Linked DNA regions of Coturnix japonica. The protein of the gene in region 2 purifies or fractionates together with the protein of the main gene of each other region. This does not show direct contact. Links are inferred from orthologs where the notes say so. Each region holds a gene or a part of one and is shown on either strand. Other genes may lie near its edges.

Evidence for each region.
Region 1: the proteins of SBF2 (region 2) and MTMR1 purify together in Homo sapiens (affinity purification with mass spectrometry; 3 studies listed by BioGRID and IntAct, with this or other methods). This does not show direct contact. The link is inferred for Coturnix japonica from reciprocal best matches to the Homo sapiens genes SBF2 and MTMR1.
Region 3: the proteins of SBF2 (region 2) and MTMR2 purify together in Homo sapiens (affinity purification with mass spectrometry; 3 studies listed by BioGRID and IntAct, with this or other methods). This does not show direct contact. The link is inferred for Coturnix japonica from reciprocal best matches to the Homo sapiens genes SBF2 and MTMR2.

What each region holds. Positions count from the first base shown.
Region 1 is NC_029519.1:16,435,061-16,439,254, reverse strand, and holds the start of MTMR1 (myotubularin-related protein 1), read left to right. Parts: upstream 1-1,370; 5' UTR 1,371-1,436; coding exon 1,437-1,564; intron 1,565-2,802; coding exon 2,803-2,908; intron 2,909-4,009; coding exon 4,010-4,033; intron 4,034-4,194. UniProt on the Homo sapiens protein: Lipid phosphatase that specifically dephosphorylates the D-3 position of phosphatidylinositol 3-phosphate, generating phosphatidylinositol. Could also dephosphorylate phosphatidylinositol 3,5-bisphosphate to produce phosphatidylinositol 5-phosphate.
Region 2 is NC_029520.1:13,379,396-13,382,944, forward strand, and holds part of SBF2 (myotubularin-related protein 13), read left to right. Parts: intron 1-809; coding exon 810-1,072; intron 1,073-1,302; coding exon 1,303-1,475; intron 1,476-1,742; coding exon 1,743-1,816; intron 1,817-2,216; coding exon 2,217-2,412; intron 2,413-3,252; coding exon 3,253-3,380; intron 3,381-3,549. UniProt on the Homo sapiens protein: Guanine nucleotide exchange factor (GEF) which activates RAB21 and possibly RAB28. Promotes the exchange of GDP to GTP, converting inactive GDP-bound Rab proteins into their active GTP-bound form.
Region 3 is NC_029516.1:165,634,619-165,638,868, forward strand, and holds the start of MTMR2 (myotubularin-related protein 2), read left to right. Parts: upstream 1-1,418; 5' UTR 1,419-1,518; coding exon 1,519-1,601; intron 1,602-4,250. UniProt on the Homo sapiens protein: Lipid phosphatase that specifically dephosphorylates the D-3 position of phosphatidylinositol 3-phosphate and phosphatidylinositol 3,5-bisphosphate, generating phosphatidylinositol and phosphatidylinositol 5-phosphate.

The DNA.
Region 1 (4,194 bases), on a different chromosome or scaffold from region 2:
TATTTTGCATACAAAAACTAAGTTTAAAGCTATAATTCCACAGAGTCAGTCAAAGTTTAGAGGGATATTTTTTAGGAGCAGTGTTTTTTCTTTCAAAGGAATTAAAATGTGCTGCCTCTCCATTTGCTTCAGCGCAGACACGGAGTTGCACTACTTTATGTTCAGGGAAGCTCAGAGCATACAGCGCGTGTGCTCTAAAATGCACACAACTTATTTCTTTGTCCTTTAAATTTCATTCTCCCTTCAGTATTTCTCACTGTGGTTTCCAAACCAACAAGAAATGCCGTGATCCCAAAGCTTGGCTCGTTGAGGTAAACAAGATGCATTTATTTCAGATGAAGGAAGATACTTGGCTGAGATACACTTTTGAGAACTATGCATATTCTGGTATATTTTGCCTTTTACTTGTAGTTTCTATATGTATATAGATACGTATATATAAAGCTAATTTTATTAGAATATTTAATGTTTCTGTATTTGAGTTGAATACATCGGTGACATCTCTGAGCGGTGTGGGGAAGTTCAGAAGGTATAATTCTACACTACACGATAACCTGTTGTGTGTGGGGAAATGTAACATAATGGAAAGATCTTTATGCGCTCAGTTCATTACTTAGATTCCATTCTTCATATTGCTGGTTTGGATCAGTGTTCATAGGAAGCTCCTTTCCATCCAGATGAGTATTTGGGCTGTCATTTGGCATTGTGATGTGAGCCTCCCCAGGTCCAAGCCAGGAAGTTCCTGAGGTGGTGAATAAGGAAGTGATGGGCAATGACTGCCAGCTTTGGGAGAGGGAGAGCTGGGCTGTAGCCAGCAGCAGCTACAGCTCCGTGCTGTCCTTTGTGAAACACTGGCCTGAGCTCTGTTACTGTGTTATTGTTTTATTTCTCTTGTATCCTTCCTTCCACGGACCCTGTTCTGTACTGGGAAGTTACTGCAGACTGCTTTCTTCCTTTGCTGCATGCCTTATCCATCCCAGCATCACCGTTAGGAGTGTTACCTACGGAAGCCTCTCACACTGCCTCCTTTGGAAGTATGTTGGAGCTCGGTTTGTACGGTGTCACACTTGAGCCCTGGGCCTATTGCAGCAGCACCGTGGGGCGCCGGGCGATGAGAGCCGCTCTGAAGCGGGGCGGGAGGGGAGCCCGGTCTCCGTGTGCTCTGTATGTGCGTGGATGGGAATAAAGAAATAAAGGTTTCTAGATTTCTCTTTACAATCATTCTGCTCCTTCCGCCGCTTCCCTCGGGCCGGGCCTGCCCCGCTCCCACCCGGCGCCGCCCCTCCCGGCGCCGCGGAGGCCTGTGGGTAAGGCCGGCCGCCAGGTGACAGCTCTGGGCCGCCGCCGGGTCCCGGGCTGAGGCGGCAGGGCCGGGCCGTGCCGGGCGGGAGGCCGCCATCGTGGCGGCGCGGGGCGTCCCGCCGGCGGCTGGAAACATGGAGCGGGCGGCGGCGGCCGGGCCGGCGGCGGAGAGCGGCGTTGTGAGCCGGAGGGCCGCCAGGACGGCGGCGGGAGCGGCTGCGGGGGCCGGTTCGCGGCAGGCCAGCAGCGAGACGCTGGACAGGTGAGCGGGACGGCACGGCTCCGCTATGCGCCGCTGGGCTCCGGCACGGCGGCCTGCGCTGCGCTGCACTGCACTGCGCTGCCCTCCGCATATGGCTGAGGCCTCCGGGCCCTCCTGCAGCCGGGGCGGCCGTGTGGGAGCGGGGCTCAGCCGGTGCTTCAAATCTGCGCCTTTATTTTTGTCCCGCCGCTTTAACAAACGGCGGATTTTCCTCTGTCAAAGTTTCCTGCCTGCGGTCGTGTGCTTCTCGCGATTAGCGTCATCCGTGCGGTAAGGCTGGGGCTGCCTGCAGGATTTTGGCTGGGGTTATGGGGAACCTACGGAGCTTCTTATCTCTCCTGAGGCGGTTTTCCTGTTGCAGCCGGCTGTTCTGTTGGCTGCTTCTCGGAGGCGCAAACACGAGTGTTTCACCTCGGGCTGCACGGCTCGGTGGGTGGGCAGGTGCTGGGGGCAGGCAGAGGGCTCTGCTGAAAAAGCCTTAACCCAGAGCAGCTCCGAGGACTATTAGTTTGCCCAGGGAGGTTGTGGATGCCCCGTCCTTGGAGGTGTTCAAGGCCAGGTTGGACGGGGCCCTGGGCAACCTGATCTAGTAAAGGTGTATGTTTGGTGGCCCTGCCAGGCAGGGGGGTTGGAACTACATGATCCTTGAGGTCCCTTCCAACCCGGGTAATTCTGTGATTCTGTGACCATAAGCATGCATTTGGCACACTGACAGCTCTACATCTCTGTGAAGATCCAGTAAAATTCTTTTACCTCCTTTGTACATTGAAATAATTGTGTTCTGCCCCCAGAGAAACCTGATTTGTATAGTGTTAACACTCACTTATGGCCTTGTTTTGTACCGCTGTGCCGTGTTATTCTCAATATATATTTTGAATGCGTATGGTAACTGTTGAATCATGGCCTGAACCACTGATTGAGCACCTAGGGAAAGGACTGGGTCAGCCCTGGGAGCACAGGGGAAGGCAGTTCTGCTGGGTGACCAACTGGAGCCTGGCTGCACCTCCCTTAGACCTCATTTAAGGGCTCACTGCCACTGGGTAGGGATCTCCGGTTAGAGATCCTTCCCCTGTAGCTCTTCCTGTGAGCTGAGGTCTTTGGAGATGGGTGAGCACTTTTCCCTTCTATCTGCCCTAGTCCTTTTGCTGTTCCACTCCTGTATTGCCTTTCCACTGTACTGTCCTTTTTGATTGTATGATATTGATCGTTAAACGACATTAAGTATTCTGTTTCTGTAGCCCTACAGGGTCGCATGTTGAATGGTGCAAACAGCTGATAGCTGCTACCATTTCCAGTCAGATCTCTGGGTCTGTCCCTTCGGAAGGTGTGTCCAGAGACTACCGGGTAAGTATCCTGAGCAGTGTGTTCATTTGTGTTGGATAAGAGTGAGCAGTCAGGAAAGACCTTGCTGCTTTGAGTGTCAGCTGGTAAGTACTTCAGTGATCTCAGAGTATTTAACAACTAGAAGCGTCTCATTTGTGCATAGGAATCTTTTGAATGTGATCTGTGTTTTCCTCCATAGTTAGAGTAGTGACAATGAAATGTACAGATAAAATGCAGGTGTGTCAGCTCAGTGCTCAGTTTATCTCTTGAGTTACATGGTATTCCTCTGCCTTTGTTGTAAGGCACTCCTTACTGCCTTTCTATTCTGAGTAGCTTCATTCTCTGTTGCATATTCACCTTGGTTATTACTTAAGAGGACTAAGTCTTTTGAGGCCTAGTTAGGTGCGTTTATCTCTCTTTCTTAGAAACAAAGGAACAAAAAATAATGACTGCCTTCAGAAATGAGTTGAATGTGAGAGCAGTGAGGTGCTGTCACAGGCTGCCCAGAGAGGCTGTGGATGCCCCATCCCTGGGGGTGTTGAAGGCCGGGTTGGATGGGGCTCTGAGCAGCCTGGTCTACTGTTAAATGTTGGTGGCTCTGCCTGTGGTGGGGGGGCGGTAGGGGGTGGAGATTTGTGACCCTTGAGGTTCCTTCCAACCCGGGCTATTCTTTGATTCTGTGTGATTCCAGTGAAGAGCTGCAGCCGTCTGTGTTTTGCCATTAGAATCCAGAAGATCTGGGGGTTGTATTTCATCATTGTTACCACAGGCTTCTTATTTTTACCTCAGAGAATTACTGGGCTTGCTATTCCCTTGTCACAGTAGCATTGAATAAAAGAGTGATTTACTAAAATAATAAGTAAAATAAGTAATTTTTTTCAAAAGAATGTGGCATTTGTTTCAGCACTAAATGGAAGTGGCTAGAATACTTTAACAGCAGATTAATTCTGCAAGTAGGAGCTGCTATATGTACATAGGGTTGTTTTGTTCTGCTTTTAAGTTCAGCTGTAATGAACATGCTTGGAAGTAGAGTTCTCTTGAAAATCTGACAAATGCTGTAATACCTTTAATGAATCAAAGCTGTGCATTTTGTTGGATAACATGTTATATTTTAACTAACAGGTGTACAGGAGGCCTGATATTCGGGTAAGGTTACCTGTGGCAAGTAGTAAAACGGCCTCCTGCCTGTTTGTCCTTTGTGCTGTGTGACATCTTGGTGTGTCAAGCGTTCTTCTTTACTTCGTTGATGGTTTTTATGATCTCTCAGGCCATGTTTCTATGCAATGCAACAGCTTCTTTGCCATAGA
Region 2 (3,549 bases):
GCAACATTTCTATTACACCAACTGCTTAAAGCAGGAGCATTTTTGTGTCTAGTGTTAGATTGTTACCAAACCCTAGCCGGCTGTCTGCTGATGGGCATTGTCTGCTTCTTTAAAACTTTTTTCTTAAACTCGCTCATGTGTTTGACTGTTAAAGTAGCTGAACTTCACCTGGTATGAAGAAAAAACATTTGTAGAGTATTGTGTTCTTTAATAATTTAACACCAAGCGTTATGTCATCTGTATCAACTGCCAGACTTTTAAATTCTAGTTCTGTCAGGCTGCACTGTAATCTGCTCTCCAACATGCAAAGGCATGAATGTTTCAGTAGATCTGGAAACTGTTCTTATAAAAGCTTGCCTTACCTGAACATCCCCAAAATTTGGAGAATATCAAATGCATCAAGTAATCAGCTGCATCTCATTAATGTTTATTGTTACTTGAGCTAAGTAGAAAAATTAAGGAGAGTAGTTATATTGAAATCATTAAACTACTCTAAAGAAACCTAAGAGATCATGTAGCATTAAAAAATGTAGAAAGAGATGATGTTATTGAGTTAGAAATGTTCACATCATGCTCTGCTAGTTGTGCATTTCATTAAGCTACCTTCAGTTCTTCAAGTTGCTGTAATTATACTCTACTTAAACCCTACTACATGTTACTACTTGCTTTTTCTTTTTAAATAAATATGTAATTTAAATAATGGAAGAATTTAAGTAAACAACTTAATTTAAAAAGCTTTGACTAGCATTGTTTTGACTAAACACTGTTTTTGAGTCATAGCTTAGTGTGTATATTTGTATGTCTTTTAGGAGAAAAATTCTGTAGGTGCAGACCACGATAAGACAGCAATGGATCTGGCTGCGGAGCAGTTGCGATTGTGGCCAACTCTTAATAAACAAACTCAACAGGAGCTCGTCCAGAATGAGGAAAGTACAGTTTTCAGTCAGGCAATACATTTCGCTAACCTCATGGTCTACCTGTTAGTACCACTAGATACAAGTAAGAACAAGTTATTGAGAGCATCAGCTACTGGTGACTGGGAGAGTGGAAGCAACAGTATTGTCACAAACAGGTGGGTACACTGCCATGATAGGTCAATCTTTTGGGGAAAATACTAATTTTCAGGACTTACTCTGAATACAAGTTTATTTCAGTATCTTCTCTTCAAGATTACTATTTCTAGATAATTAATTAAGGGGAGTGGAAATCTAACATGATTCCTCTCAAATGGTAGAACTTTATCTAGACTAAATTACTGCCACTTAAGGAAATTTAAGAATTTTTTTTTTTTAATGTCCATAGTATTGCAGGCAGTGTTGCAGAGAGTTATGACACTGAAAGTGGATTTGAGGACTCTGAGAACAATGATGTTGCAAATGCAGTTGTGCGCTTCATCACCAGATTTATTGATAAGGTTTGCACAGAGAGTGGAGTTACACAGGATCACATCAAGGGTCTTCATTGCATGATACCAGGTAAGAATTGTGGTGAAAATGTGACTTCATAATCTTTCATTTTTCGGGTTTTTTTTTCTGATGAAAGAAATACACATTTTAGTTGCAGTCAGTTTCTGTGGACATAAAGATCAGATCTTTTTGTAGACTTTAATTGATGTTGAATTTCAACTAACTATTTTCTTGATGGTTAAATTTAAGAATTTTGGAATATCAGCTTTCCAATTAGATTGCAACTTTCTCTTTCATGTTATGCCAGACTTCATTTATGATATTACTGATTTTCAGGCATTGTGGCAATGCACATAGAGACTTTGGAGGCTGTCCATCGTGAGAGTAGAAGGCTTCCACCAATACAGAAGGCAAGCATTATGAAACATGTTTGTATTCTTTACACGTACTAGAATCATGAAGTTTAGTCATCTTTTTTTTTTTTCTTTTATTTTCCACTTCATAATGTTAGAAGGAAACATCAGAACATTGTAAGAAAAATTCCACAAGTGATAAATAAAGTGCTTGGCTTTGGTATCATGAAATATGAACTTAGAAAGCTATTAGAGCCAAATTTTTGATCATAAACAAGCTGTTGCATACCCGCTGTTTTTTGAGACCCATTTTTCTTAGTTGAGTCCAAACTCCATCTCCCTTCTTTGGAATTACTCTCATAACAATTTTGTTTTGAATCTTTCTACACCAAATATAATTAGGCTGAGGTACAACACTGGTACCCTTATCATACTTACACTATTTTACTTTCATCAGCCCAAAATTCTACGACCAGCTTTACTGCCAGGAGAAGAATTTGTTTGTGAAGGTCTCCGTGTGCTACTTGATCCTGATGGCAGAGAAGAAGCTACAGGAGGACTCCTTGGAGGTCCTCACATCCTTCCTGCTGAAGGAGCTTTGTTCCTTACTACCTACAGAATTATATTTAAAGGCACTCCTCATGATCAGCTGGGTAAGAAAAACTCAACAGTAATAGAACTTCGAGCTGACCTGTCCATCTATGTAAATATCAGCATCAAGGTGCATCTACCTCTGAGAGTAATTTTTCATGGTCATCATATTGGGATGGTCTTTTGTTATAGGTTTTTACTCTAGATATGACAGAACTTTATTTTCATTTTGCATTTAGCCTAATCTGATTTCTTCAGATAAGACAGCATATGAACTGTCTGTGATTTGTGACTTCTACTACTTCTTTTCATTTGATGGTTTTTTTTCAACTGCTTGGAAGTGTGTAAAATGAAAAAAACAAACAAACAAAAACATAAGTTAGTAATGTCCTTAAAATTATTATTAATAAATTAAGCATTGCTTTTTATATGTTTTAGGTGGCAGTTTTTCATCTCTTGACATCTGCCATTTCTAAGCAAATTAAATTGTCAAAAATATAGATTTATCTTTCAAAGTTTATAGTTGTTTGTAAAGAAGACGGTGTAAAACTTTCATTGTTTATAAGGTGCTTAATGTAATGTGAACATTAATTATGTTTGTAAGTGTTTCTTGACTGCTTTCCAAACTATATTTTTGGGGTGTATTTTCAATGCACAAAAAACTCAGAGAATATTTTTCCAAACAGAAAGGAAGCAGAAAAAGTAAATGCTTCAGGTTATAGATAATACTTGGGGATTTATCAACTTTTCAAGCATTTTCTGTTAAATTAATTATATGCAGTTATTTTCCCATTGCTTTGTATGTTATAATTATTGTCTGCTCAGAATATATTGTGACCTAAACAGAGCTGATTCTGTGATCAAACAAGTATCCATAAATATTACAATTCTTTGGTTCTCAGTGGGAGAGCAGACGGTGATTCGGAGCTTTCCTATTGCATCTGTTACAAAGGAGAAGAAAATCACTATACAAAACCAGCTGCAGCAAAGTATGCAGGAGGGCTTGCAGATCACTTCAGCTACCTTTCAGGTAAAAGGAAGTTTTGTGAAATTTGTGCAGTTCAAAATACTTACAAGCAGCACTTTGTCCTGATACTCGTGGAGAGTTCAGTGTCCTGCTCTGTAAAGTCAAGAGAGAACATGTAATCCTCTCATAGAAACTCTTTTGGTTTTTGGTTCATTTGAAACAGTGTTATTGT
Region 3 (4,250 bases), on a different chromosome or scaffold from region 2:
AAGAAAACCAAAACAGCGGGGAAAAAAATTGCTTTGACAAAGCTGTGTTTTCAAGTTTAAACCAGCTTCAAACCATCCCACATCGAGCTTGCTCAACAGCAGCTGAAAGACACTAAAGGGAAGAGCAGGGGAGGGAATTTCACAGCAGCTTAATGCTGTCTCAGACGGGGCTGCTGCAATACGGCTTCAACATCCTGCTTGCCCTCACCAGTTTGCAAGTGACTCGAAGTGCTTTGGACTTACATCCAGTGACAGGAGCAAACTGGGAAACAGCAGGAGGAGGTACATCAACTGACTTACTCTTTGGAGAGCAAATGGGTGATGAGTAACCATTTTACATCCATAGAACATTCAGATTTGTAGAGGATTTATGACGTTTTGAGTTACTGTTTCAAGCATGGATGTCCCCTGGGAGTCATATTTGTGACACTGGGTGTTCTCTTGCCTCTACCAACAGACTGCTGACTAGCAGGCTTTACTGAAACCCTCCTGCTTGCTAACAGTGCTTTGGCTTCTTGTCTGCCTCATAGAACCTTTGTCAAAACAGCTAATGTGTTCAAAAGACACTGTGAGAGGGAAGCATCAGCTGCAGTTCCTCCTGAGTCTTTGTAAATAATGTTAAGAGCTCTTCTCTTGCTCATCAAACTGCTCCAATATGAGGCCTCACAGCACAGAGCAGAGGGGCAGGATCACCTCCCTCACCCTGATGGCCACACTGCTTTGGATGCAGCCTAGGATACGGCTGGTTCTCTGGGCTGTAAGGGTGCATTGCTGGCTCATACACAGCTTGCCATCAGTCAGTACCCCAAAGTCCTTTTCAGCAGGGCTGTGCTCAATCCTTATACCCCTTGCTTGCCAAAGCCCAGTTGCAGGCCTTACACTCGGCTTTGTTGATCCCTTAGGGGGGAAGTTCTTCACTAGGAGAGTGGTTAGGCCCAAGGAGGTTGTGGATGCCCTGTCCTTGGAGGTGTTCAAGACCAGGTTGGACGGGGCCCTGGGCAACCTGATCTAGTAAATGTGTATGTTTGGTGGCCCTGCCAGGCAGGGGGGGTTGGAACTACATGATCCTTGAGGTCCCTTCCAACTCGGGTCATTCTGTGATTCTGTGATTCCGTGATTCTGTGATTCTGTGATTCTGTGATCCCTATGAGGTTCACCTGGACCCACTGCTGGATCCTGTCGAGGTCTCCTTGGATGACATCTCATCTCTCTGGAGCATCATCAGTAAACTTGCTAAGGGTGCAGACCCCACTGTCAGCGTCTTTGGCGAAGACCTTAAACAGCGCTGACCCTGACACCACGGCGGCTCTCGGTGACGCCCGTAACCGCTATCCCTCACCGACCTCACCGGGCTGCGGTCGCTGAGAGGCGGGCAGGCTGCGGCAAAGGGAGCGGCAGCGCTCGGTATCGCCCCGCCTCGGCCCGCCCTCCCCGCTCAGCACGCCGGGCCGGCATGGCCGCCTCCATCCCCGCTCTCGGCTGACGGCCGCCCGTCCCGGGGCCGCCCCGCAGCCCGGCATGGAGGAGAGCTCCAGCTGCGAGAGCCTCGGCGCCGGGCGGGCGGTGGCAGCGCGGCCGCCCAGCGGCGATTCCCTGTCCAGGTAACGGCCCCCGCGGGCAGCTCCAGCTCCTCAGGGCTGGGCCTGAAGGGCCGTCCCGCTGCACGGAGCCGTGGCGGGGCGGGGGGAGAACATCGGTGCCGCCGTTCTCCATCAGTGCTGAATGCTGCTCGGGGCGGCTGAGCCCTGTGCCGTCTTATTAACAGGAGCGAAGGTCGTGGGGTTTGTTGAATCCGTGTCGTTTTGTCCCCCGACAGCCTTAGGAGAGCCTGATTTTTTATTTTTTTATTTTACTCTTAATGACATTTTAATGCTGCGTGGGTGATTTCCGAGAGGAAATTACCTCTGCGAGGCTTCCTGCGTCTCGCAGGGTGTGGGAGAGGTGTGGATGCCGTGACTCAGAAGCACATCTTGCGAGGCTGTGAGGGTGGGGCACAGGGAGGACGGACGATGCCCCGGAGGCTGGAGGGGTCCTGCCACGTTCTGGCTGCCCTCTGTGCCCAGGTTGAATGGCCATAAGGATCTCTCAGTCCTGCTGGCATGGCTCGGAGGCCAGGTCATACTGGAAACGTGCAAGGATAGCGACTGCACGTCCTCCATCCCTTTGATACCTTCTGTGTAGCCTCTGGGGCTTCCTGTGGGTCCTTCTGAAGTATTTCCTGCTCCAGGCTGACCAAACCCAGTCCATCCTTATGGGGGAGGTGGTCCAGCCCCCACCCTCTCAGTGGTCTCTCCTGAGCTCCCCTCCAGTGCCTTTAGGGAGATAGAAACTGTATGCAGATCCCAGAAGCACATCAATGAGCACTGAGTTGAGGAGGCGGACCTTTCCCTGCATCTCCTGGTGCTTCCCCTGTGCCTTCATCCCAGGGTGACATTGACTTCTGCTCTGCTGTGCCACCCAGCAGGACCCCCAGGCAGGCAGTGCCCACTCTGCATCGATAGCGCATCCTTCTCATGTCCTCTGTGACCATTTCACTCTGCTTCATCAAGCTCTTCTGTTTTCTGTATCTGTTTCCATAGTGTGCTTTACCTGCCAGATGCCGTTTCTCTTTTTCCTCACTTCCCCAGTATAATTCTCGTCCACTCTCTGCATCAGCTGGGGCAGCTTGGACCCATCTGAAGGTCAGTCACTGTACAGGAAACTGGGACCTGCAGTCATGGAAACACAGCTTACCTTGGAAGAACCTTACTCAGCAGCATGCCCTGTACAGATGGAAGCACTGGGAGATGGAGGTGGTAAATCTGTCTCTGCTGAGCATGCACAGGACTGTCCTCCAAGTCCTGAAAAGGCCTTAACTTGAACAGTTTTCTTGGGGTATTAAGAAGCTTATCTGATAACCTTCAGAATTTCAAGTCTCTGCTCCAACATCTCGATGCAAATACCCTGAAACATATTTGTATGGTTGAATGTATTTTACATTCAACATACAATATATTTATTTTCATCCCTTTCTTATTGTGGTCTGTAAGGTAGGACAGCTTTGAGTTCTGAGCCCTTGGTAAGGCACAGCTGGTAGAGTTTACCATTGGAAAGGTTGCTCACGTGAATAAGGACCTTAAAAAACACACGTGTTAGAATGTTTGTCATTTGGTTGTGCAAATGGGATGTTGGTGACGTCTGATAGTGGAGGTTGCTTTGATGTTTCAGTAGACCTGAGTGATGGTCTGGGGCTTCTGGGGGACTGATAAATACCTTTTCACTGTGCTAAGTAATAGTTTGGAAAGACTCTCTGTGAAATTAATTAAATTAAAAGGTGATATCAAATTGTAGGTGACATTAAAGGTGATAAGGCATTTTGTTTGTGTTGTGATTCCATGTCTTAGTCTCCAAATGAACAAATCTCTGTGTGCTTCCATAAAAAACGTTTGAAAAACATATTAAAGCTCAGTCTGAACAACAGACAAGTAGAATGGCCAGGAGTCTCTCTGTTAGGTCCACTGAAGGTGAATTTGTACTGCCTGTGCAGAAGCGTGGATGTGATTGTACAGGAAGGAAATTGCTGCAGGAGATGTCGGTGATTTTTCAACCTCAGTCTAAAATGACAGACAGAGATAAGGCAGTGGGCAGATGTTTCCTGCCAGCGTGACTGTAGCGATGTTTGATGTTCCCACTTTCTGGTTGCTTGTTACCACCTCTCTGCTGGCAGTTATGCTCCGTAGAGGTCTGCGGGCGCAGTGAATCCTGTGCGCTGTGCTTCATGCTGAAGCATATGAAAACAATCACGCTCCTTGTCCTTAGCGTTTGCAGGGGTAACTCAGAAAACATAAGCTCTGTGTAAATCAGTGCAGCGAGGTCTGTTGAAGCAATAGCTCCACGAGGTATGAACTCCGTTCATCTCAAATAAGGTCCTGTCAATACCTGCTCTGATTTAAGGCTATGTTGAAGGAATTCTTTCCCCACAGATGAGAGTGATGCTGGAAGGAGTTGGATCTGTAAGCTGTTGGCTGAGGAGGGCTCGCTAGCACCACATTGCTACCAGATGTGTGTGATTTGCTGATGGAGTTGTTTTGTGATGAGTCATTGAAGTTAGAGTTTGAAAAGGAAGGGTTTTTGCCAGTTCTGGCATTCAGTGAAATGCGAGTAGCTGTCTTTTTCTTCCTGGACTTTGAGAGCACTTCTTGCTTTTGATTTCTTCTATGCGTGCAGCAGGATTTCTGAGAGTTGTTGCCATTGAAGACAAGTATGTTGCT